Arabidopsis thaliana: one gene and its partners. The main gene of each other region encodes a partner of the protein of the gene in region 3 in a complex. Each region holds a gene or a part of one and is shown on either strand. Other genes may lie near its edges.

Region 1 (7,200 bases), on a different chromosome or scaffold from region 3:
TATATCATGTCACATAACTTGCGTAAATTCCATATAAAGTAATATAAATAAAATGGTGGTGTAAAGCAGAGGAACGAGTCCTATGATAGAGAGATGTTCAATTGTTCGTGGGTCATGTGGCGTAAAATTGTTTGTTTCCTTGTTTCTTTTGGCGTAAACTGCAAAATTGCCAAAAATTCGATGAAGTCACAACCTCTTGATTTGTATATATTGTCACGTCGCTATATCACCACAATCAATTCCTTTCTTTAAAGGACTAGAATTCCATTACTCATATCATTTCCGTTATGTTAGATCCACAATAAATGATAATAATTAAATTTAGGACCCATTTGAATCTTTAGGTGCTGATTAAACACCCATCTCTAAGATCACAAAAGCAGAAATTTTACATTTTTAGTGACATATAATCCTTTTTTCTATCATCAAACATTAGAAGTTGGATGTTAAATGTTCTACAAAACTTCACAGGTGTTGTTGGAAGTTCCAAAAAAGAATGTCGTTTGCTATACAAAAAAAGAAAAGAAAAGATGAAAAGTAACTTCCTGCGTTTAAAGTATCACGCTGCGTTGCGGTCATGCAAACGCACCAACAAACAAAATAGTTTCAAAACAAAACTTGAAAATGTGGGGTCCACGTAAGAATCTCCATGGAAGAACTTGAGCCAATCAGAGTGCAAAAACGGAGATGACAGTATATTTCAACCAATAAGGAGGCAGAATCAGATCACCAGTGGGTTCCATTATAAGTTTCCTCTTGACTAACCACCAATAGCTAGTTTTACACAGAACTTAAATTTTTCATTTTTTTTTGTCTTTTAATATTTCAACAAGATCAATTTTATTATTTGATATTAACCATCTTCAACAGTGTTTGCCAACGAAAAAAAAACACCATCTATAACAGTGTCTTCACCAAACTGTATTTCACTATGACTTATTTTCCGAAAAGAATGATGAAGTTTAGTACCATACATGAACTAGCGGTTAGATCGTAATTAAGAATTTGAGGATCATATTTTACTATATCATGAAAACGGAGAGAGCGCAAAATTACAGACATATTGGTTCAAAATTTTATTTAAGAATAAAGTATATATATGGTTCTAATTTTTCAAAAAAAAAGTATATGGTTCTAAACATTTATTTGAAAGTACGTAATATAATGAAAACAAAAATTGTAAATTTGAAGTAAAAAACTCGTGAAAAGTCCTCATTCTAAAATACCATGTACACGTACATAATAAACTATGAATAGAATTATGAGTTTTTATTTATATTTCTATCTCCACTCCAAATAATTTAGACCACACAAGGTAATGAAAAAATAATAATTCTGAAAAAAATGAAAAATACTGCCGGGAAATCGAGACGCCACACACACTAGTGAATTCGTTGCAAAACCATATATATTACAGTATTTTGTTCTTCTCAAGGCCTCTCTCTCCATCTCAGCAACTCTCTCACTGTGTAATATACACACACAATGGTGGTCGATGTAGAGAGCCGAACCGCGAGCGTGACAGGAGAGAAGATGGCGGCGCGTGGCTGTGATGCGTGCATGAAGAGATCACGTGCTAGTTGGTACTGTCCAGCCGATGACGCTTTCCTATGCCAAAGCTGCGACGCCTCGATCCACTCGGCTAACCATTTAGCGAAACGGCACGAACGTGTCCGGTTACAATCATCTTCGCCGACGGAGACGGCAGACAAAACGACGTCGGTATGGTACGAAGGATTCAGGAGAAAGGCGAGAACGCCTAGGAGCAAGAGTTGTGCGTTTGAGAAGTTGTTGCAAATCGAGTCAAACGATCCTCTTGTTCCGGAGCTTGGTGGAGACGAAGATGATGGCTTTTTCTCGTTCTCCTCCGTAGAAGAAACCGAGGAGAGTCTGAATTGTTGCGTGCCTGTTTTCGATCCTTTCTCAGACATGCTGATTGATGATATAAACGGCTTTTGCTTAGTTCCTGATGAAGTCAATAACACTACTACTAATGGAGAATTAGGAGAAGTCGAGAAGGCAATCATGGACGATGAAGGTTTTATGGGGTTCGTGCCATTGGATATGGATCTTGAGGATCTCACTATGGACGTGGAGAGTTTACTTGAGGAAGAACAACTTTGCTTGGGATTCAAGGAACCAAACGATGTTGGAGTCATCAAAGAAGAGAATAAAGTAGGGTTTGAGATTAATTGTAAGGATTTGAAGAGGGTGAAAGATGAAGATGAAGAAGAAGAAGAAGCCAAGTGTGAAAATGGAGGATCAAAGGATAGTGATAGAGAAGCATCAAATGATAAAGATAGAAAGACAAGTTTGTTTCTGAGATTAGATTATGGAGCTGTGATTAGTGCTTGGGATAATCACGGTTCGCCGTGGAAAACCGGAATCAAACCGGAGTGCATGGTAAGTTGGTGTCTCTAGCTATATCTCTCATCTCTATGTTAGTCTTTAGTAGTGTCGAGTTCCGTTGACTTTGAGCTGATATATATTGATTATAAAAGACGAAATAACGTTATAAAGTTCACTGATCCAGTTGGGAGGGAACACGTGTCTGCCTCATGTTGTGGGTGGGTACGAGAAATTGATGTCGAGCGACGGATCGGTGACACGTCAGCAAGGGAGAGACGGAGGAGGATCGGACGGGGAGAGAGAGGCGAGGGTTTTGAGGTACAAGGAGAAGCGGAGGACGAGGTTGTTCTCAAAGAAAATAAGATATGAGGTTCGGAAACTTAACGCTGAGCAGAGACCTCGAATCAAAGGTCGTTTCGTGAAGAGGACGTCACTTTTGACGTGATTTGATTTACTTTAATCAACACTTTAAAGATCTTGTAATTAAGACCTTTGAAGTAATTGTCGTAATGTACTGAATAATGAACTGAAACTCTTGGGGCCGATGGTTGTGTAGACTTGTAGCCGGCAACTATGATTTTATAGATTGATTGATTGAGTAATTTATTGTATATATCAAATGAAAACTCTTTGTTTATCAAATGAATTGGAGAAAAAAGCCATAATGTGTGATAATAACGAACACTAAAAAATTCGTAGCGAAGACATGTTACAAAGAAAACAAGTGTAATTAAAAAAAACAAAAAAAAAACAAGAAACAAGTTCAAATTAGAACATGCCATTTCCAACAATTTACAAATGAAGCAAGAAATAAAAGCCATTAAGGCCTAGTTATGGCTGAATAGCCCATCACACAATTAAAAAAACCAACATAAAGAGCCCAACTAGGCAACTACTTAAGCCAACCGGTTTGGGTTATCAAGTACGTATTTTAATCGTTAACCAGTAAAAATCGTGAATTTCAACCGACTGAATTTGGTTAACTTCACAAGGTTGACGCATAGCTCACGCGCCGCCGACTTGCTACGATTGACATGAGCGGATACGAGCGTAAGAACACGACGGCGAACTCAATCACCATCACCAAGCGGAAGCGTAACTCGATTTCGGAACAATCGGAGAACGTATACGAGAAATCGAATAGGAAGGAGTCAATAACCTTAAAACCTCACCGTTCTTTTACGCCGGGATTCAGCCAGCGTGATTGTAAACCTGTCAGACATAGTAAGTCTTCTCTCCGCCGGCGACGGAGAACTAAGGAGAAGATCTCGAGTTCCGTTGAGCGCGAATGGGTGTTTTCCGCAAACAATTTTGAAAATCTAGCAGGTCTGTGTGCATTGCAATCACACTGAATAATGCACTTATATGCTTTTATTAGCTTCACGAAGTATCACATTCCGTACTTTGAACACATTTTTATCTTATGTGTATGAAAAACTTGATATCTCCTTTTCAATTCTTCAGATAAATTAGTATTAGTTTCGTACAATCTACTTGGTGTTGACAATGCGTCGAACCACATGGACTTGTATTACAATGTTCCGCGGAAGCACTTAGAGTGGAGTAGACGGAAACATCTCATATGCAAGGAGATTAGTCGTTACAATGCAAGCATCTTATGTCTTCAGGCAAGTTCCAGGGGATTGCCTAGATCTACACTATTTAAGTTTCATTGCATTCTCATGTCCAAATTTATTGCAGGAGGTTGACCGCTTTGATGATTTAGATGTTCTTCTTAAAAATAGAGGATTTCGAGGTGTTCACAAGGTATATATACGAGTCAAAAGCTTTATTACCTTGTATGCAATGGTGCCTTTTTCATACATTTAGTATTTTTTAGAGTCGGACTGGAGAAGCGAGTGATGGTTGTGCTATATTTTGGAAAGAGAATCTGTAAGTTCAGTTTTTTTCTATTTAGGATCATTTTTAATGTGGTGGGAAGTCTCTATATGCTGGAGTCAGGATCAGGAATCTAGCCATTTGAATTGTCTACAGGGAATATCTCTCTTTTGGAACGAGATAAATTAGATCTTCTAGTTATCTGTTTTGAATGTTTCGAAATTGTTAATGGTAGGTTCACGTTGTGTTATGTTATCAGCTTTGACCTTGGCTTCACAATATATTGTTCAAGGCTGAAAGCTTTGCTTTCTATTGTTCTCGATGTTATTTATTTTGTATTAGACTCTTACTCTACTAGTTTCATCATTTATGTTATATTTCTGCTGTGAATGCAGATTTGAACTTCTAGACCATCAACATATAGAGTTTGATAAATTTGGTATGCGAAACAATGTTGCTCAACTTTGTGTTTTAGAGGTATGCACCGTTTTAAGTTATTTCTGTATTGTCGTCTTCCCCCTCTTTTCTCCTCTGTCTTTTCTTGATTCTAGAAGCACAGAGATATGACAAGCTTAATTGTGGGCATTATTTTATATATTTTTCCCTCCTGTTGTGTTTTCAGCTTTGCAGGCTAATTGCTTAATTTTCTTAGTTTCAGCCCTTGCAATTAATTAATTTACTTGATTGTCTATTACGGAACAGATGAACTGTGAGGAGGACCCAAAGTCTAAATTACGGGTGCGATCATCAGAGTATGTCTGAGTTCTGTTCTGATTCCTTTACTGGAGTGAATATTGAACTTACTTTTAAGATCCTTACTAAATTTTATGCGCACTTCCATGTTTGGTTGATTTATGCAAACTTCTACTAGTCCTCGAAGGCTAGTGGTTGGGAATATACATGTCCTATTCAATCCTAAGCGTGGGGATATCAAGCTTGGCCAGGTATGTCTTGCTAGATCCTTACAAAATTCTGATAAAAACTGGCTTATCCATAAAATCGGTAGAGCATTTCTGTCACTACACATCCTGAGTTTAGAAATGTCAATTTTTTAGCTAGTACTATTTTATGGTATTCATCAGTACATCAATGCCTGTCAGTATTGAAACTTCATTGAAATTCTAAGTAGCTCGCTCATTTCTTGATATTTGATATGTCATAACTTATAGGTAAGACTCTTTCTGGAGAAGGCTTACAAGCTATCACAGGAATGGGGAAATATTCCTGTGGCGATTGCAGGTGATCTGAATAGCACTCCACAGGTGATCTCTACCAACTTTTGTTTTTTTTGTTCTAATACTTATTTTTTAGCTGAATTCTAAAACTTACTCTGGATTTGCTGTACAGAGTGCAATCTATGATTTCATAGCTTCAGCTGATGTGAGTTCCATTGAGGGTTCTGGACTCTTTCTTTTACATTTCGCCTGGTCATAATTTTTTTCCTTTCTTTACTGGGAAAGTTAGAATGAACTCTTTATATTCCTTTTTTAATTTTGGACAGTTGGATACACAACTTCACGATCGCAGGCAAATTTCTGGCCAGACTGAAGTGGAACCAAAGGAGAGGTCATTCAGAAACCATTATGCATTTAGGTAGCTTGTAATTCACCGGGGTCTTTGGTTTCTCTAAATAATGTATCCATATTCCTTTTCTGCCTACCTGATGAACGGATAGATTGCTTATATCTCTTCTGTTTACCTGATGAACTGATAGAGTGATAGATTACTTATATTTTTCTTTGGCCTGCGCTTAATCAACTACGTAATCCTCAGATGAAGTTTCTATCTCAATTTAGTCTAACTAAACAACTCCCTCTTTCGTCAGTGCTTCAGCATCCATCTCCGGATCACTACTCAATGAGTGGAGCCAGGAAGAATTACAGCTTGCAACTGGTGGTCAAGAAACCACTCATGTCCAACATCAACTGAAGCTTAACAGCGCATATAGTGGAGTTCCTGTAAGTGTTTTTGTTTCTTGTTCTCGACTGGTGGACGCATCGAAAAGAGTTGAAATCTGCCTTACAGGAAAACTAAGTTCTTAGGAACTGTGGCTTTCTTTTATACTAGATACTGAAAAACGTTTAGGGAAAGTAGCATGTTGTATGATGTTATATATCCTTCTAGTATGCTAAGACCTGAGATCTTGCAGGGTACATATAGAACTAGAGATCAACGCGGTGAACCATTGGCAACAACGTATCATTCCAGGTTCCTTGGAACTGTTGATTATATATGGTAAGTCTGTTGTGCTTATGAAATCCGAATCATTAATCAGAGCTTTCAATTATATATGGCTATCAATGTTGTGATATATGCACATGTAATTTTGAAATCTCAATAATTAATCTGAGGTTTTGAACCCAGGCATACCAAGGAACTCGTTCCTGTGAGGGTTCTTGAGACCTTGCCAGCAGATGTATTGAGAAGAACAGGTGGACTACCTAGTGAGGTAAGTTTTTTTTTCTAGGCTAAACTTTTTTTCTGGGGCAACCCTTTACTTTCTCGAGTTACTCTATTCATTTTTTCAAGAATGTAAAAACTGGGATTATTGGAAGAGTTGCATACAAGTCTCTGACCAATGAAAATTTGCAGAATTGGGGAAGCGACCATCTCGCTATCGCATGTGAACTCGGCTTTGTCAATGACTGGCAATGAGCCAAAATGTTAGCACCAACCACTAAACCGAGCCACCTGACTTGGCCATCCCTTGAGGTTTTTGAATGCTCATCGAGGCTTCTGAATTGGAGTTCGGAAACAGATTCAGTAAATTGTAAAACATAAACAAGTTTTGGGCTCATTCCCATACATAGATTTGCTTACTTGAAACATTTTTTTTTACCTTACCTACCCAAGACTTGCACCTACTCTTTCTGCTTTTAAAAAGTTAATACCAAAATAGCATGTTACTGGACGTGTACCTATGAGGAGCGAAGACCCATTTTGCTACTAGAAGCAAAACAATGTAAGAGACGTTGCGTAAAAAGTATCTCAATCTGTTCACTCCAAAATAAG
Region 2 (7,200 bases), on a different chromosome or scaffold from region 3:
TAATTAGCATGCCATGAATTTGGCGTCCGCAACTCAGTAACTGCACAAGAGAAGAGACACCAAGAACACTAACGTATGTACCTTGGTTCGGGGAAAACCCATGCTCTGGCATACTCACAAAGAGTTTGAGTGCTTTTAACGGGTTCTCACTTTTGGCTGTTGCACAAATTATGGCGTTCCATGACACTATATCCCAGGAACCTGCATCCTGAAACATTCTCTCTGCCATATGCGTATTGCCACATTTTCCATATGCGCTGATGAGAGAGTTAACGACGGATATTTCACAATCTAACCCTTTTTTCGTTGCTGAGCAATGCAACTGTTTGCTAATATCCAAGTCCTTTACACAAGATACACCCTTCAATACACCCAGGAAAGAGCTTTCAGTTAAAGAAGCGCCCATCCTAACAAGCTCACGGAAGAAAAACATGCATTCTTTGAGAAAACCACGATGCCCCAACAAAGACATCATATGGTTCCATGTTTCCAAGCTCTTAAACGGCATATCTTCAAAAACCTGTTCCGCCATTTCCAGCAAGTCAAGCCTCCCATACAAACACAACAAACAAGTACCAACAAATGCATCAGCCATAAACAAGCCATACTTCAAGCTCAAACCGTGCAACTGAGTTCCAGCACGAACATCCAACGATGCACAGGACAATAAACCACTCACTGTTGACTGGTTCGGCAAATATCCAAAATACCTCATCTCAGAGAACACACCCCAAGCTTTATCAACATCCCCGTATTTGCTGTACCCTTTAATGATCGTGTTGAAAGACACTTTATTTCTCTCAGGCATTTGATCAAACACTTTGCCTGCAAGTGATACCTCGCCAAGCTTCTCATAAAGACTGATAATGTTATTGCAGACATAAACTGGCTGCAAAAGAACAGAGCATAAAGTGATGGAGAGAGCGTGAAGAGCTTTGGTCCTTGCAAAGGAAGGAGCTTTTCTGCAGACATTGAGTAAGCTAACTACACGATCGTTGTGATTGGCGAGATCTCCACAGCTGAGGCTCATGCAGAAGGATACTGAAAACAGAGTACTTCCCAGATCGATCTCAGTTATAATTAAGAACTAAGTTTCGTGCATCATGAAGAAAGTTCTAATAAAGGTCTGAAATTTTAAAAGTTCGGATTTTTATAAACATCAAGAACAAAGTTTGAAGTTCAGAACCAGGGAACTAAATAATTGATCTAGACCGCACCGGCTGGTTCAACCACAGTATCACGGTTTTATCTGTCCAATTGACCAATCTGGCCCATATTATTTTACAAATAAGATCTTTCAAATTGGCCCATATTTAACAAAAGAAAATCGAATTAATATTATGGTTTTCTAAATGAACCAAAATCAACTCAACTTTTTTTTTTTGAATAATTTTATTTTTATTCCATAATTTAATTTGTTTATCATTTCCAATGAAATTTTATCATTAATAAAAAAGGTTGCTCTCCTCATCCCTTCCATCTTTCCTTTCACATTTTTTAGATTATACCTCATGTTTGAATAATATTGGTTTACATATCTAATTCATATTGAAAAACCCTCCAAATCTCTAGAGAAAAAGGACGATAAGAGTACTTAACTCACAAAGGGCAAATACCCAACTTTTGAATCTCCTTACATATTTTATGACAAACTATGAAGGTGTCCTCCAAATACTCTTTAATCATCTTTTGATTATCATCTATAATGATTGTTTCTTCAGACCTCATACCCATATCTTCGAGCGGTTTTAGTATCTTTACTGTCTCGTTAAATAGATTCTCATTTACCATTTCTAAGCATTTCTTCTCTTCTATCGTTAGATCAACTTTCAATTTTTGTATGTCTTTGACGGCTTCCAACAAAACTAACAACAACAAAAAGAAAAATCAAATCAAAAGATTTCACTATAAAGAACAAAAAATAAACAAATTGTTAGTTACCATCATAGAACAAATAATATTCAGCTGCCACAACCCTTTTGAAAAGTTGAATACGTTCTGTGCTTTTGCTCATCTCAACAATTTTGATTAAAAAAAAAAATATCTAATGCATTCTTTGTTACAAGGTCGAGATGTTATTTTGTAGCGTATATAGTGTTTGAGGCTTCTTTGTTTGGAAAAGATCGCTTTCGAAAAATAATAATTATTATTATTTTCCATGTTATGCTTCATATAAAATGTGGACTCAGGCCTCCGAAATAACAAATAGAAAAAATTGTGTTGAATGCTTAAAAACGAGAAAGAAATCTCTCAACTTTGATTTACTGGACACGCATTGTATTTGTTTTCTATAATTAGTTCAAAATAATAATTTGTAAATAGTTATCTAAATTCGGTAAAATACAAACCGATAACTTTTCATATCAAATACAACAAAAGTTAGATATAAATCTTAAATTTCTATACTTTAAAATTGAGTAAACCTGAAAAGAATGAAATTTAGTCTACCTAAATTTATTAAAAACCAACAAAATTTTCATAATTCGAACCTTAATTATTTCAGGTTTGAACCGCTTATATTTATGAAAACCAAATGAACTAGCTAAAACGAAAACAAAAGCGAAAATGAACATGACAATTTTGACAATGTTAAAATGTGATTCTTTCATTAATTTGACAAATTCAACAATTCTTAAGAAGATCAATTGAATTGATAAACTATGCTGCTCTTCTTGGGTAATTCTCACATTTTAAAAAAAAAACAAAAAAGAAGAAGAAGTTAATTCTACCTTAATCTGCAACAAATCGTCTTCAAGATAATTATATCACGAATTGATATTTCTTGTCTCTTAATCTTAACGAAGAAACTACACCTCCTGGCTCCTACTGAATGTGCGTTGAACACTCACCTATTGACTCATCTTCACCATTCCTTCTTTCTTCAATCTATCATAGATATAAATACACTTCTTTTAAGTCACCAATCTTGTTTTCGTAATGGTACGAGTCATAAATCTTGATTTGTCTTTGGTAAGTCATGTTTAGTTGTGGATTATTTGTTTTTACGCATTTTCTAGATTTTAAAATTTTATCTTTATATAAACAAAAATAAAACGAAAAACTTTCAATCTTTGAGCGCCAAAACCAAAATTTTCATCGAAAAGGAAGATCAATTAAAATATTATAAAATTTCATAATAATGTCTTCAAAGCACAAAATAATAGTTTTAGTATTAAACCCACTCGGGGAAAAAAAACACATAAAAAAACCAAAATCGATTTCATTGATTTTTTCCATATTCACAGCGAAAGAATCGATCCTTAATACAAAATTCCTTCAAGATCTCACATCTCTTATAAGCTTTCTCGATACCATCATTTTCCTTTCTTTTTTTCTTTTCTTCGATTCTAATTTGGTTCTGCCGGATCTTCAACCTTGTCTGAAGAAGACATTTTCTAGGGTTTCTAGAGATTGGTCGGGTTTTCGGTTCAAGTAAATGGTGGATCAGCCTATCGTACGCTCCACTTCATTAGGTTATCAACGACAATATTCATCATCTAATAATCATCATCAAGGTCTTGCTTCGATTCTGAATCTCTGCTGCTGCTGCTTCGATAGTGTTCTTCGACAATCACCAGGTGTTATTGAAAAGCAATGCTGAGCGTGATCCGAGTGCATCTTCCTTCTGAAATTCCCATTGTGGGCTGTGAATTGACTCCTTACGTCCTTGTTCGTCGTCCCGATAAGAACTCCACCACTGATGACGTCCCTGAATCTGCTCCTCTTGAAGGCTACTTCTTGAGATACAGATGGTTAGATTTCTGATTGGCTCTTTGTCTAATTGCTTTCTTGGATCATTTGGCGAATTGGGGTTTATCAAAGATTGAATTTTGATCTGAATTCAGAGATTTCTCATGTAGATGTTCTGATTTAGGTCGTCAAATGGTTTTTGTGTGTAAAGTTCTGATCTTGTTGTAGATTCATTTTTTGGATTTATTTGTTGTAGGTATCGTGTACAGAGTGATAAGAAAGTAACGATTTGCAGTGTGCATCCAACGGAACAAGCTACTTTACAGTGTGTTTTCTGTTCTAAGCGTAGATCCCTTGTTCCAAAAAGCTATCACTGTTCGCCAAAATGCTTCACGGATGCGTGGCAGCATCACAGGACTTTGCACGAGCGAGCAGCTGCGGAAAACAACGCAAACGAGGATGATGACTTGAACAGGAATAACAGTGCGGGTTCTGGGTCTCTCGCTGGTTCCTTATCTGGGTCTATGTCAAATCTTAGTATTGCCAACAATGGTCCAGCTCCGTTTTATCCTTCTAATATTACTCAGAAAAATGGAGGAGAGACTTTAGTTGAGGTTGGGGGTTGCAAAACGTACACTCCAACAGCTGATGATATTAGCCACGTTTTGAAGTTCGAGTGTGTTGTGGCTAATGCTGAGACTAAACAGATTGTCGGACATCCTAGTACCATTTTGACTTCACGGGTTATTCCTGCTCCTTCTCCAAGCCCCCGTAAGCTAATCCCTGTTAACGGAGCTGATGGGATGGGTCACTTAGATCAAGATGCTCGGATTCAGTCTGCAGGATCATTCACTGTTCTTTCATATAACATTTTGTCTGATACTTCTGCAAGTAGCGACCTCTACAGTTACTGTCCTCCTTGGGCTCTTTCATGGCCATACCGAAGACAGAATTTGTTAAGGGAGATTGTTGGATATAGAGCCGATGTAGTTTGCCTGCAAGAAGTATGTTATTCGTATGGACTTGGTAATGATTTAAAGCATTTTAATTCTGAAAAATCTACTTCTAATGTGTTCTTTTTTTTGTTATCTGGCAGGTACAAAGTGATCATTTCCATGAAATTTTTGCTCCTGAGTTGGATAAGCATGGGTATCAAGCTCTTTACAAGAGGAAGACTAATGAGGTTTGGTCAATGATTCCACACACTCCTTCCTTCAGTGATTTATGTTTTAAAATCTATTAACCACAAATTTCTTGTTGCTAGGTTCTCAGCGGAAGTACAAGTGCCATTGACGGCTGTGCAACATTTTTCCGGCGGGATAGGTTTTCGCATGTCAAGAAATATGATGTTTGTATTCAGTTCTATATGTTTACTTGCTAGATCCAGTAAGATCTCTATACTAATTCATGGACTGTAAATCCAGGTTGAATTCAACAAGGCTGCTCAGTCTTTGACTGACGCTCTAATCCCTCAGGCTCAGAAGAGAACTGCTTTAAACCGACTGGTTAAGGTATTTTTGACATGGTATACAATATTTTTCTGGGCCACAGCTGATTATCAGAGAGTTATTGTTTACAAAACTGAAACCAATGATTCTTATGTTGTAGGATAACATTGCGTTGATAGTTGTTCTTGAAGCCAAATTTGGTAATCAACCTACTGATCCTTCTGGGAAGCGCCAGCTTATTTGTGTGGTACTGGTTCTTTTTTTTTTTCCATTCTCATGAGAACTGTTAGTTTCTGTATATGCTCTTTTAGTGAAAGCCAATGAATTTTCTTATTTTGTTGTGGCAACTTGTTTAGGCAAACACACATGTAAATGTTCAACAAGATCTGAAGGATGTGAAGCTCTGGCAGGTTGGTGTATCTCTATATCCGAAATAAATCAAATTTCATTGAACTCGAAAGAATTAGTATTCACCTCATGTTTTCTTTTATTCTTTTGCGTTTAGGTTCATACCTTATTAAAGGGACTAGAGAAAATAGCAGCTAGTGCCGATATTCCTATGCTTGTGTGTGGAGACTTCAATACGCTTCCTGGGAGGTTTGTTGATTCATAAATTCTTTTGACATGATACATGAAATGCAGAATTCTCTTATGAGTAGCTAAAGTTTTTCTTTTTGGCATTTTTATGACAGTGCACCTCATACACTTCTTGTAATGGGAAAGGTTGATCCAATGCACCCAGATCTGGCAGTCGATCCCCTTAATATCCTGCGTCCTCACACCAAATTGACTCATCAATTGCCTCTGGTAACATTGCTTTTTTCGATTTAAGTAAATTTATACCGCTTATCTTTGCGTCTCTCTTGGATATTTGATAAATGAATTGGTTTCAGGTGAGCGCGTACTCATCGTTTGTGAGAAAGGGAATAATGGGTCTTGGATTGGAACAACACAGAAGGAGAATAGATCTTAATACAAACGAGCCTTTGTTTACCAATTGTACAAGGGACTTCATCGGCACTCATGACTACATATTCTACACAGGTTTCACCATTTTTAACTCCATTGTCCTTGTTTTCAACTACATCAGAAATAACAAGTTAACTTAATTGGAAGATTTTTTTGTGTTTGGGTTTCAGCGGATACATTAATGGTGGAATCTCTATTGGAATTACTGGATGAAGATGGATTAAGAAAAGACACAGCTCTTCCTTCCCCAGAATGGTCTTCTAATCACATTGCTCTCTTAGCTGAATTTCGATGCACGCCTAGGACAAGACGCGGTTAACCGCCTTCACCACCCACCATCATTTGCTTACAGATAGGTTTTTTTTTTTTGTTCCGATCTTCTTCTTTGATCAGACTATGACATCAACTGTTTAGACGAAACCTTTACCAAATCTGTGATAGAGATGACACAAAGATTCAAAGGGATTCTGAGTAAGGCAAACCACTCTATGAAGTTGGTCATTCTTTATTATGACCCCTGTGTGGCTCTGTCTAAACCTCCTTTTATATCTCATTTTGATCCTCAATATAGTGAAAACCCTTTGACTTTTCTTTTCCTTGGATCAATTTTAATGTTTGAACTGCTTTGTATGACTAAATAGCTCATGAGAATAATATGGGTCTACTAGGGGGTTTTCTTTTTTCACATTGAACAAAGAGACGATTCGTGTCTACTACATAACCATTTAAAGAGCAAACATACACATCTGTGGCTGCTCCCTAATAATAAACAATAGAGATAAGTGAGAGAGAAAGAGAACATAATCGGTTCTTGAAGAATTGAAGTTAAAGCTTAGTCCCACGCACTAGCCACTCCAGGACCATACCCTTGGTTAGGAACGGTTCCATATCCTCCAGGACCATAGTAAGCACCACCACCTCTACCATAAGGTGCATAACCACCACCCGGAACATTTCCATATCCACCACCTGGTACGGGTCCGTACCCACCAGGCATTGCTCCATAGCCACCACCAGGAACGCCTCCATATCCACCACCTCCACCATAGTAGTCAGCACCACCACCGCCTCGACTAAAAGATTCTCTCCTGAA
Region 3 (7,200 bases):
AAACGTTTACAAAACATATATTCCCTAAAGGGTATTGTACTTTCGAGTGAATCTGAATATCAGATATTTACTTTTTTAGCGTTTTTCTTTCTTTTGGTTTGATACTTTCTAATTTTGTAATTATTCACTTTCTTTCTGAAACACTGACGTACAAAGCTGAATTCAACATGGGGAGGTCTTTCTTTATACGTGAATGATAGTATTTATAAATTTTGGTTTATTCATATAACCTTATAGTTTGTCAGAGTTACAAAAACTGCAAAACATGAAGAATGAGTGTCCTTGCAATTACAGAATAGAGAGAGCTCACGAGGAGGTAAATTCATCCACCACCTAGATTGGTCCACTCATCATGACGTAAAGCCAAAAGACGTTAGTTCAAGTACGAATACTTCCCTAGTGTGGTCCTGGTTTTTGGTCCACCGGTCCGATTCACAAGGTCAGGTCGAGTTTTCACTGGTCCGACCAAGCAGGTCATTCGGTCAATATTTGTTTTGTTAATCAAGTCCTAAAGATATTTTAGCCACCAGTGACTATAACTAAGTCTGGCTATTTTTGTACATGTAGAATCAAGTAATAACTAATAAGGAGTTAAGGACTAACGATCAGTTATGACTTGCTGTTGCTGGTAATTTGGCGGGTGAGAATAGACAATGGATAGAAGCAAGTTAAAAATGGAAATGAAGCATCCAATATAATAAGTATTTTGGAAGCATGTTTTTGTGAATTATCTCATTATGATTTGGTTATAGAGACTAATGTGAAGTCGTGTTGGTGAAAGGTTTGAAACTTGTTGTGTTTCATATATTCAATAGTTTAGCGACTATTTTTGCTTGTAGCCTATATATTTTCAGGGTTATCCCTCGTTACTGGTAAAGATCGTATCGGATAACACTCGAAATGCACAGCTGAGCTATCATCGTGCCAAGGCTAGGGTGGACCGGTGGTACCACTTCGCGTAGTTATCCGGCACCAGAAAAAAAAAAAAAGATTCGAACTCATCTTTCATATGGATAAATTTATGTGGGCCACAACAGAAAATATAGCTATCATCATACTTTGTTGTTACATAAGCTACTCATGATTCGTCCGCCAATATTCCATCACCAAATAAGAACCACAAAAGCGGCGACTGATGGATCATAAGATTTTAGATTATGGTAAGTTGTAGAATGTTTGTAATGCCTTCACACCATTATGCCTCTTGCCATGTTGGGGGTATGGACAACAACTTAGCCCCACAAATTGATGCCCTATTTTGTTTAGACTGGAATTTTGAAACACATTTTTCTCTATTTTGCTATTTTTGGGGTCATCAGTCTACACATGGATGTTGCAAATGACCACCAATTCGGTTCACTTCAGGTTGGGTTTAATTACGACCCGACTATGATCTAGCCAACCATAATTTAGCCTCGATATCTGAGGTTTAGGTCTGATTCGACCAAGCTTTATAGCAATACAAGTCAACCGGAAGTTAGAAATGATACGTTTGATGAGTTCAATCCGGGTTGAACCGGGTGAGTTTATATGACCAAAACAACTCTTCACAATAAATGAATAAAATATCTCGAGTTGTGAATGTATGGTTGTTCTTAGTTGGGTCTCTATCGTCCTCTCTCTCTATTATAACTATCCCAATCTCTTCGGTGTTGTAATAGAGACATGGGAACTACTAGACAAGGAAAAGCTCATAAATTCGATACATCCAACATTCAAAGCACATGACACGAACTTTGAGGCGTAAGCTGTCACAAGTTAACATCAAACCTAGACATATAGATTTTATTTCAACAAACTGATTATTTATACAATACTTTTATTTCATTCTATAAGTAGTGATACCACATATTTCAGGTTCAAGGCTCATGATCGACTTGCTACCTCTAATCCGTTTCCTGCAAAATTTGACGACAGAATCTGTAAGTTGAAACAGACAGGATCGCTGAAAGATAATCCTAGAACACATGTTCCGGATCGATAGACCAAAGTACTAAAGCATCAATGCATATAAATATATAATACACAAGAACTGTAATTTGCAAATGCTTGTGCTGAATAAGAAAAGTAGACATATATCTGACCAAGTTATAATAGTTATTAAGCCGGCTTAAGAGCAAAACAGAGATTAATTACCATCAGGATCAAAGAAGAAAACTTGCTTGACTTTTCCATCAGGAAGAGACTTCTGAAAAGTTTCTATCCCTTTCTCCTACATCATAACAAGGACGAGAAAGGATCGATTAAATAACTCTGAAAGATACCAATCATATCCATAACTGTACCATCAAAAGCTCATGTAAACAAGCCAAAGAAACAATACCTTGAGAGAATGAAGGAAAGAGTCGAAATTTGGGACAGAGAAACAGATATGATGACCCATTGGGAGATGGCTAGGATCCTTAACCGCTGAGGTAGCACTGTAAGGACCTTCTGGAAGATTTGTTGAAGGGTTTCTCTGGATAATATGCATTGCAAAAGCACCTGGTAAGTTTAGCCACACCACCTGTAGGTCTCCAAAATCAGGACTTTCGATCTCCTCGAACCCAAACACCTGACAATTATACATATATAATCCATTGGTTTCAGAACAAACCACGAAGATGAAGATAACACTAACTTAATCAAAAGGATTAAAGGCATCCAAAAGTGGACACTCTCAATAGAAACTAGAAACGAGATAAGTGACAAGAGAAAGAGACAAAGCCACAATAGCAACACAAATCTCTAAATAAAAAGCCAAATTACAAACCATAGATTCTAATCCAGATGGGTAATCGACTCAGTGCGTTTGTTTTTTTGGGTCGAAATTGGTAGTAACAACACAAACCCAGAACAGAGAATACGAAGAGAGATAAGAAAAAGAAAAGTGTAAGAAATTGAAAACGTCGATTAGGTGTCGTTACCTCTTTGTAAAACTGGGCGAGGCGTGTGATGTCTGATGATTCTCTGGCTATATGGCCAAGACTCGCCATGTTTGGTTCCAAGCGGACAAAGCTAATCAAGAAGAACAACTCAGAAACAAAAATGGTCGACAAAAAAGAGATTAGTAAAAGTACGTGGCATCGGCTCCTTATAACACATCTTTAATCAAACCATAAGGTTGAACCGATCGGTTTGACTATCAGTGAAACTAAAACCAACTTTAAAAAAAAGAATTATTATACGTAATTGCAGTTACTCCAAGAAAAATTAATCTGTTGCTTAATCTGAATATCCGACCAATCAGAAATGTTCGGACCCCGACCAAACAATGTATCCGGTTTAAAACATCCGGTCCGGTATTAAACCCTTATTGCTCCGTAATCTCTCACCTCCACCAATTCCTCATTCTTCCAATCGCACTTCCTTTACCAGATCAGACGTCAATTTCAACTCTTCAGTGAAGAGATTTCTTTCACCGAATTTTCTACTCCGATCGATCAATTGAAGATTGAAATGGAAGCTAATTCAGGCGGAGGAGGAGGAGCTGAAGGCGGAAGAGCGGTAACCGGAGGAGGAGGAGGAGGAGGAGGGAGCGATGTGGAATTGGTGAGCAAGACGTTGCAAGTGGAGCATAAGCTATTCTATTTTGATCTTAAGGAGAATCCTCGTGGAAGGTATCTAAAGATATCGGAGAAGACGTCGGCGACGAGGTCAACCATCATTGTTCCTTCCTCCGGCATCTCTTGGTTCCTTGATCTCTTCAACTACTATGTCAATTCTGAGGAACACGAGCTTTTTAGCAAAGAATTGCAGCTTGATTCCAAGGTTTCAACTTTATCATCACTCTCTTCTGGCGATCGTTGACTTTTCCACTCTCTTTAATTTCTGCTGTTGTTGCTTTATTCAGGTGTTTTACTTCGATATCGGTGAGAACAGAAGAGGACGCTTCTTGAAGGTAGAAATTTTTCTGTTTTACTTAATGAATCTGAAGTTTTTTTTCTTTGGTATATGTGAATTGAAGATTTAGGGAGTACTAGACTTATGGTTAGGAATGTTCTTTTCATTTTGGTTATGTGACTAATTATCCTGAGGTATCAGAAGTTGTAGGAATGTTCTGATGGGTTTTGGTGTGGTGTTAGGTGTCAGAAGCATCGGTTAGTAGAAATCGAAGTACCATTATTGTTCCAGCTGGAAGCTCTCCTGATGAAGGATGGGCAGCTTTCAGGAATATATTGGCTGAGATACATGAAGCATCAGGACTTTTTGTGATGCCAAATCAGGTGGTATTATCGTCTCCTTTGATTGAAAAGCCTTTAACTAAGTTCTCTGGTCTCATTGTATCTTCGTTTTGGAAACAGAAACCTTCTGATGGACAGGAACACTTGGTTGATGATGTTGGAGCTGGTTTTATACCTGGACATGGTAGTCAGCAGCCATCTTCTTCAGAACATAATGTGGATCGAACAATTGACTCGCCAGGCCAGGAAGAAACCGGAATGACTGGTGTTTCTAAAGTAATCAGAGCTGACCAGAAACGGTTCTTCTTTGATCTTGGGAACAATAACAGGGGCCATTTCTTAAGGATATCTGAGGTAATCTTGGAAGAACAATCTTTTGCTGGCTTATCTCTTGAGAGCTTGTATTTACCATGGTTTTAACATTAAAGCATTTCTCAATATAGGTGGCAGGTTCTGACAGGTCTTCCATCATTCTACCGTTATCGGGTCTTAAGCAGTTTCACGAAGTAATTGGTCACTTTGTGGAGATCACCAAAGATAAAATTGAAGGTATGACAGGTGCAAATGTCAGGACAGTTGATCCTCCTCAGAGATAAGTATTGATTCTCTTAGAGGATGGAAATTTTCAATCCTCTAACCATTTGAATCTGGCAACTTCAAGTCGACTGCCTGATCGCGGTGTGCAATAGTTTCACGTAATATCTCTCGCCCCTTCACATCTTCTAAAAATAATTCAGCAGGATCATCATTTGCCTTAATAGTAGATAAAACAAACTTTGGAGTCTGCAACTGGGAATAAGCTGAAAATCATCCACCATGTGTATCTCTCTCTCTCTCTCTCTCTCTCCCTCCCTCCCTCATTTGCTTCTGTTCTGTTTTAACTTTTTTTGTTTTTGTTCAGTTTGGGTCATTGGGTGTATATCTGTTGACGGCTTGATGCATTTCAATTGTAAAAGAATATTGGGGTTTATATGTTTGGGCTAATGCCTGTTGGAATAAAAGATGAAGTGTAAGTTCTATACATGAGTTACGAATTCTTTTTGGTTTTGTCTGAAAATGATTTAGTTCTACTACCAGAGGTTCTAAGAGCAGTTGCGAATTGTATATACTGTCCTAAGCATGCTTTGGTTAGACAAAAATTTCGATTTTTAGGTTAATCGAAAATGCCTCAATAATAAAAAAAAAAGAAAAAGAAATCAACGTTGCGTATAAAACAAGGGAGAAGATAAAAAAACAGCGTTTGTAAATAAAAAACAAAAACCCTAAAAAAAGGAGCAACTTTGGGCACAGTCCGAGAGAGAGAAAAAAATAAAAAATAATCTGTCGGTGATTTATAACCTCCTCTCTAATAAACCACCACATCCTCTGAAACCCTAGCCTGAACAACTCGCCGTCTTCTCGAGAAACATCTTTCTTACTTCGCTTCATTACAAGGTTCGAATCCAGCTGTCTCTCTTAGTATTTGTCTATGTATCTGTCGAGTTTCTCTGTTTTCATTGATTTATGTAAAATCAGAAGGTTTTGGTTTTTGTAAGTGATTCATTTGTTTTGTGTTAAATCTATTGCAGATCTGATGAAACCAGATCGGATCTTGCTCTAGATCCAGATGCTCCTTAACTTATTTACTCGAATTCATCATCATCGTTATCATCACCATGTCACTGTTTCTAAAAGACGATTCGATTCAAATCCGTGAAGTATGGAACGACAATCTCGAATCAGAGATGGCTCTGATTCGAGAAGTCGTAGACGATTTCCCATTCGTAGCGATGGACACAGAGTTCCCAGGAATCGTGTGTAGACCAGTGGGAACATTCAAAACCAACACAGAGTACCACTACGAAACTCTCAAAACAAACGTCAACATACTCAAGATGATTCAGCTTGGACTCACTTTCTCTGATGAGAAAGGTAACCTCCCAACTTGTGGAACAGACAACAAGTATTGCATCTGGCAGTTCAATTTCCGCGAATTCGACCTCGAATCCGATATCTACGCTACCGATTCGATCGAGCTTCTTCGTCAATCAGGCATCGATTTCGTGAAAAACAACGAATTCGGTATCGATTCGAAGCGGTTCGCTGAGCTTTTGATGTCTTCAGGGATTGTGTTGAATGAAAACGTTCATTGGGTTACATTCCACAGCGGATACGATTTCGGTTACTTGTTGAAGCTATTGACTTGTCAGAATCTTCCCGAGACGCAAACAGGGTTCTTCGAGATGATCAGTGTGTATTTCCCGAGGGTTTATGATATCAAACACTTGATGAAGTTCTGTAATAGTCTTCATGGAGGTCTGAATAAATTGGCGGAGCTGCTTGATGTTGAGAGAGTTGGGATTTGTCACCAGGCCGGATCGGATAGCTTGTTAACGTCGTGTACATTCAGGAAGCTGCAGGAGAATTTCTTCATTGGTTCAATGGAGAAGTATTCTGGTGTTTTGTATGGTTTAGGTGTTGAGAATGGTCAGATTGTTCATTGATAAAAGCTTAAAGTTTTAAACAGGTTATGTTATTTATTTTAGATTATTACATCATAGGTTGTTTTAAGAAGTGTATGATCACAAGAACTAAACTCTGATTTTGGTTTGGTATTGTGCTCTCTTACTTGTTTAAAGATAGCATCTCACTTAATTTATGAAAAAAAAAGTTTGATATATGTCCTTTTTCATCATATCTTAAAGATATTATCAAAGGTATACGTATTTGGCCTATTAATAAAATTTCACAATGTGTTAAAAGACTTAAAGGACAACATAAATTGTGGATTCTGTGAAGTGTTTAAACATTAAAGATGAAAATTGGGAAAGATTAAACAAACGACAGCGTTTTTTAAAAGGACCCAGATATTGAAGGAATGGCCCAGTAAAGCCCATTAAAGTAGAGCCCAGGTTCGTGACAAATCTGTTAAAATCGTATAATTCAGGGTTCGTAAAACCCTAATATATAACTTCGCTACTCATTTTTTGCTCTTCGTTGCAGCCTCTCTCTCTTTAAGGTTAGTCTCTTACTCACTTTTGCGTAGTTCCTCACTGAA

What was found.
Region 1: AT2G32070 (region 3) and AT1G73875 share a complex: the UniProt entries of both Arabidopsis thaliana proteins name them as parts of the CCR4-NOT complex.
Region 2: AT2G32070 (region 3) and AT3G58580 share a complex: the UniProt entries of both Arabidopsis thaliana proteins name them as parts of the CCR4-NOT complex.

Annotation. Positions count from the first base shown.
Region 1 is NC_003070.9:27,777,729-27,784,928, forward strand, and holds AT1G73875 (DNAse I-like superfamily protein), read left to right. Parts: upstream 1-3,126; 5' UTR 3,127-3,383; coding exon 3,384-3,675; intron 3,676-3,813; coding exon 3,814-3,977; intron 3,978-4,050; coding exon 4,051-4,116; intron 4,117-4,189; coding exon 4,190-4,242; intron 4,243-4,583; coding exon 4,584-4,665; intron 4,666-4,890; coding exon 4,891-4,940; intron 4,941-5,059; coding exon 5,060-5,132; intron 5,133-5,357; coding exon 5,358-5,450; intron 5,451-5,535; coding exon 5,536-5,568; intron 5,569-5,689; coding exon 5,690-5,781; intron 5,782-6,013; coding exon 6,014-6,146; coding exon of another isoform or gene 6,147-6,230; exon of another isoform or gene 6,231-6,337; coding exon 6,338-6,423; intron 6,424-6,552; coding exon 6,553-6,637; intron 6,638-6,780; coding exon 6,781-6,843; 3' UTR 6,844-7,192; downstream 7,193-7,200. Other genes in the region: BBX16 (B-box type zinc finger protein with CCT domain-containing protein), read left to right, coding at 1,486-2,403, 2,534-2,794. UniProt on the Arabidopsis thaliana protein: Acts as a catalytic component of the CCR4-NOT core complex, which in the nucleus seems to be a general transcription factor, and in the cytoplasm the major mRNA deadenylase involved in mRNA turnover.
Region 2 is NC_003074.8:21,660,092-21,667,291, reverse strand, and holds AT3G58580 (DNAse I-like superfamily protein), read left to right. Parts: upstream 1-3,196; 5' UTR 3,197-3,594; coding exon 3,595-3,752; intron 3,753-3,946; coding exon 3,947-4,694; intron 4,695-4,786; coding exon 4,787-4,873; intron 4,874-4,954; coding exon 4,955-5,038; intron 5,039-5,114; coding exon 5,115-5,201; intron 5,202-5,298; coding exon 5,299-5,385; intron 5,386-5,494; coding exon 5,495-5,548; intron 5,549-5,643; coding exon 5,644-5,735; intron 5,736-5,830; coding exon 5,831-5,945; intron 5,946-6,031; coding exon 6,032-6,182; intron 6,183-6,277; coding exon 6,278-6,426; 3' UTR 6,427-6,694; downstream 6,695-7,200. Other genes in the region: AT3G58590 (Pentatricopeptide repeat (PPR) superfamily protein), read right to left, coding at 1-1,030; AT3G58570 (P-loop containing nucleoside triphosphate hydrolases superfamily protein), read right to left, coding at 6,940-7,200. UniProt on the Arabidopsis thaliana protein: Acts as a catalytic component of the CCR4-NOT core complex, which in the nucleus seems to be a general transcription factor, and in the cytoplasm the major mRNA deadenylase involved in mRNA turnover.
Region 3 is NC_003071.7:13,640,275-13,647,474, reverse strand, and holds AT2G32070 (Polynucleotidyl transferase, ribonuclease H-like superfamily protein), read left to right. Parts: upstream 1-5,414; 5' UTR 5,415-5,597; intron 5,598-5,731; 5' UTR 5,732-5,818; coding exon 5,819-6,646; 3' UTR 6,647-6,881; downstream 6,882-7,200. Other genes in the region: AT2G32090 (Lactoylglutathione lyase / glyoxalase I family protein), read right to left, coding at 1,867-1,898, 2,137-2,212, 2,324-2,554, 2,907-2,975; PUR ALPHA-1 (purin-rich alpha 1), read left to right, coding at 3,439-3,750, 3,833-3,880, 4,065-4,208, 4,284-4,517, 4,607-4,759. UniProt on the Arabidopsis thaliana protein: Ubiquitous transcription factor required for a diverse set of processes. It is a component of the CCR4 complex involved in the control of gene expression.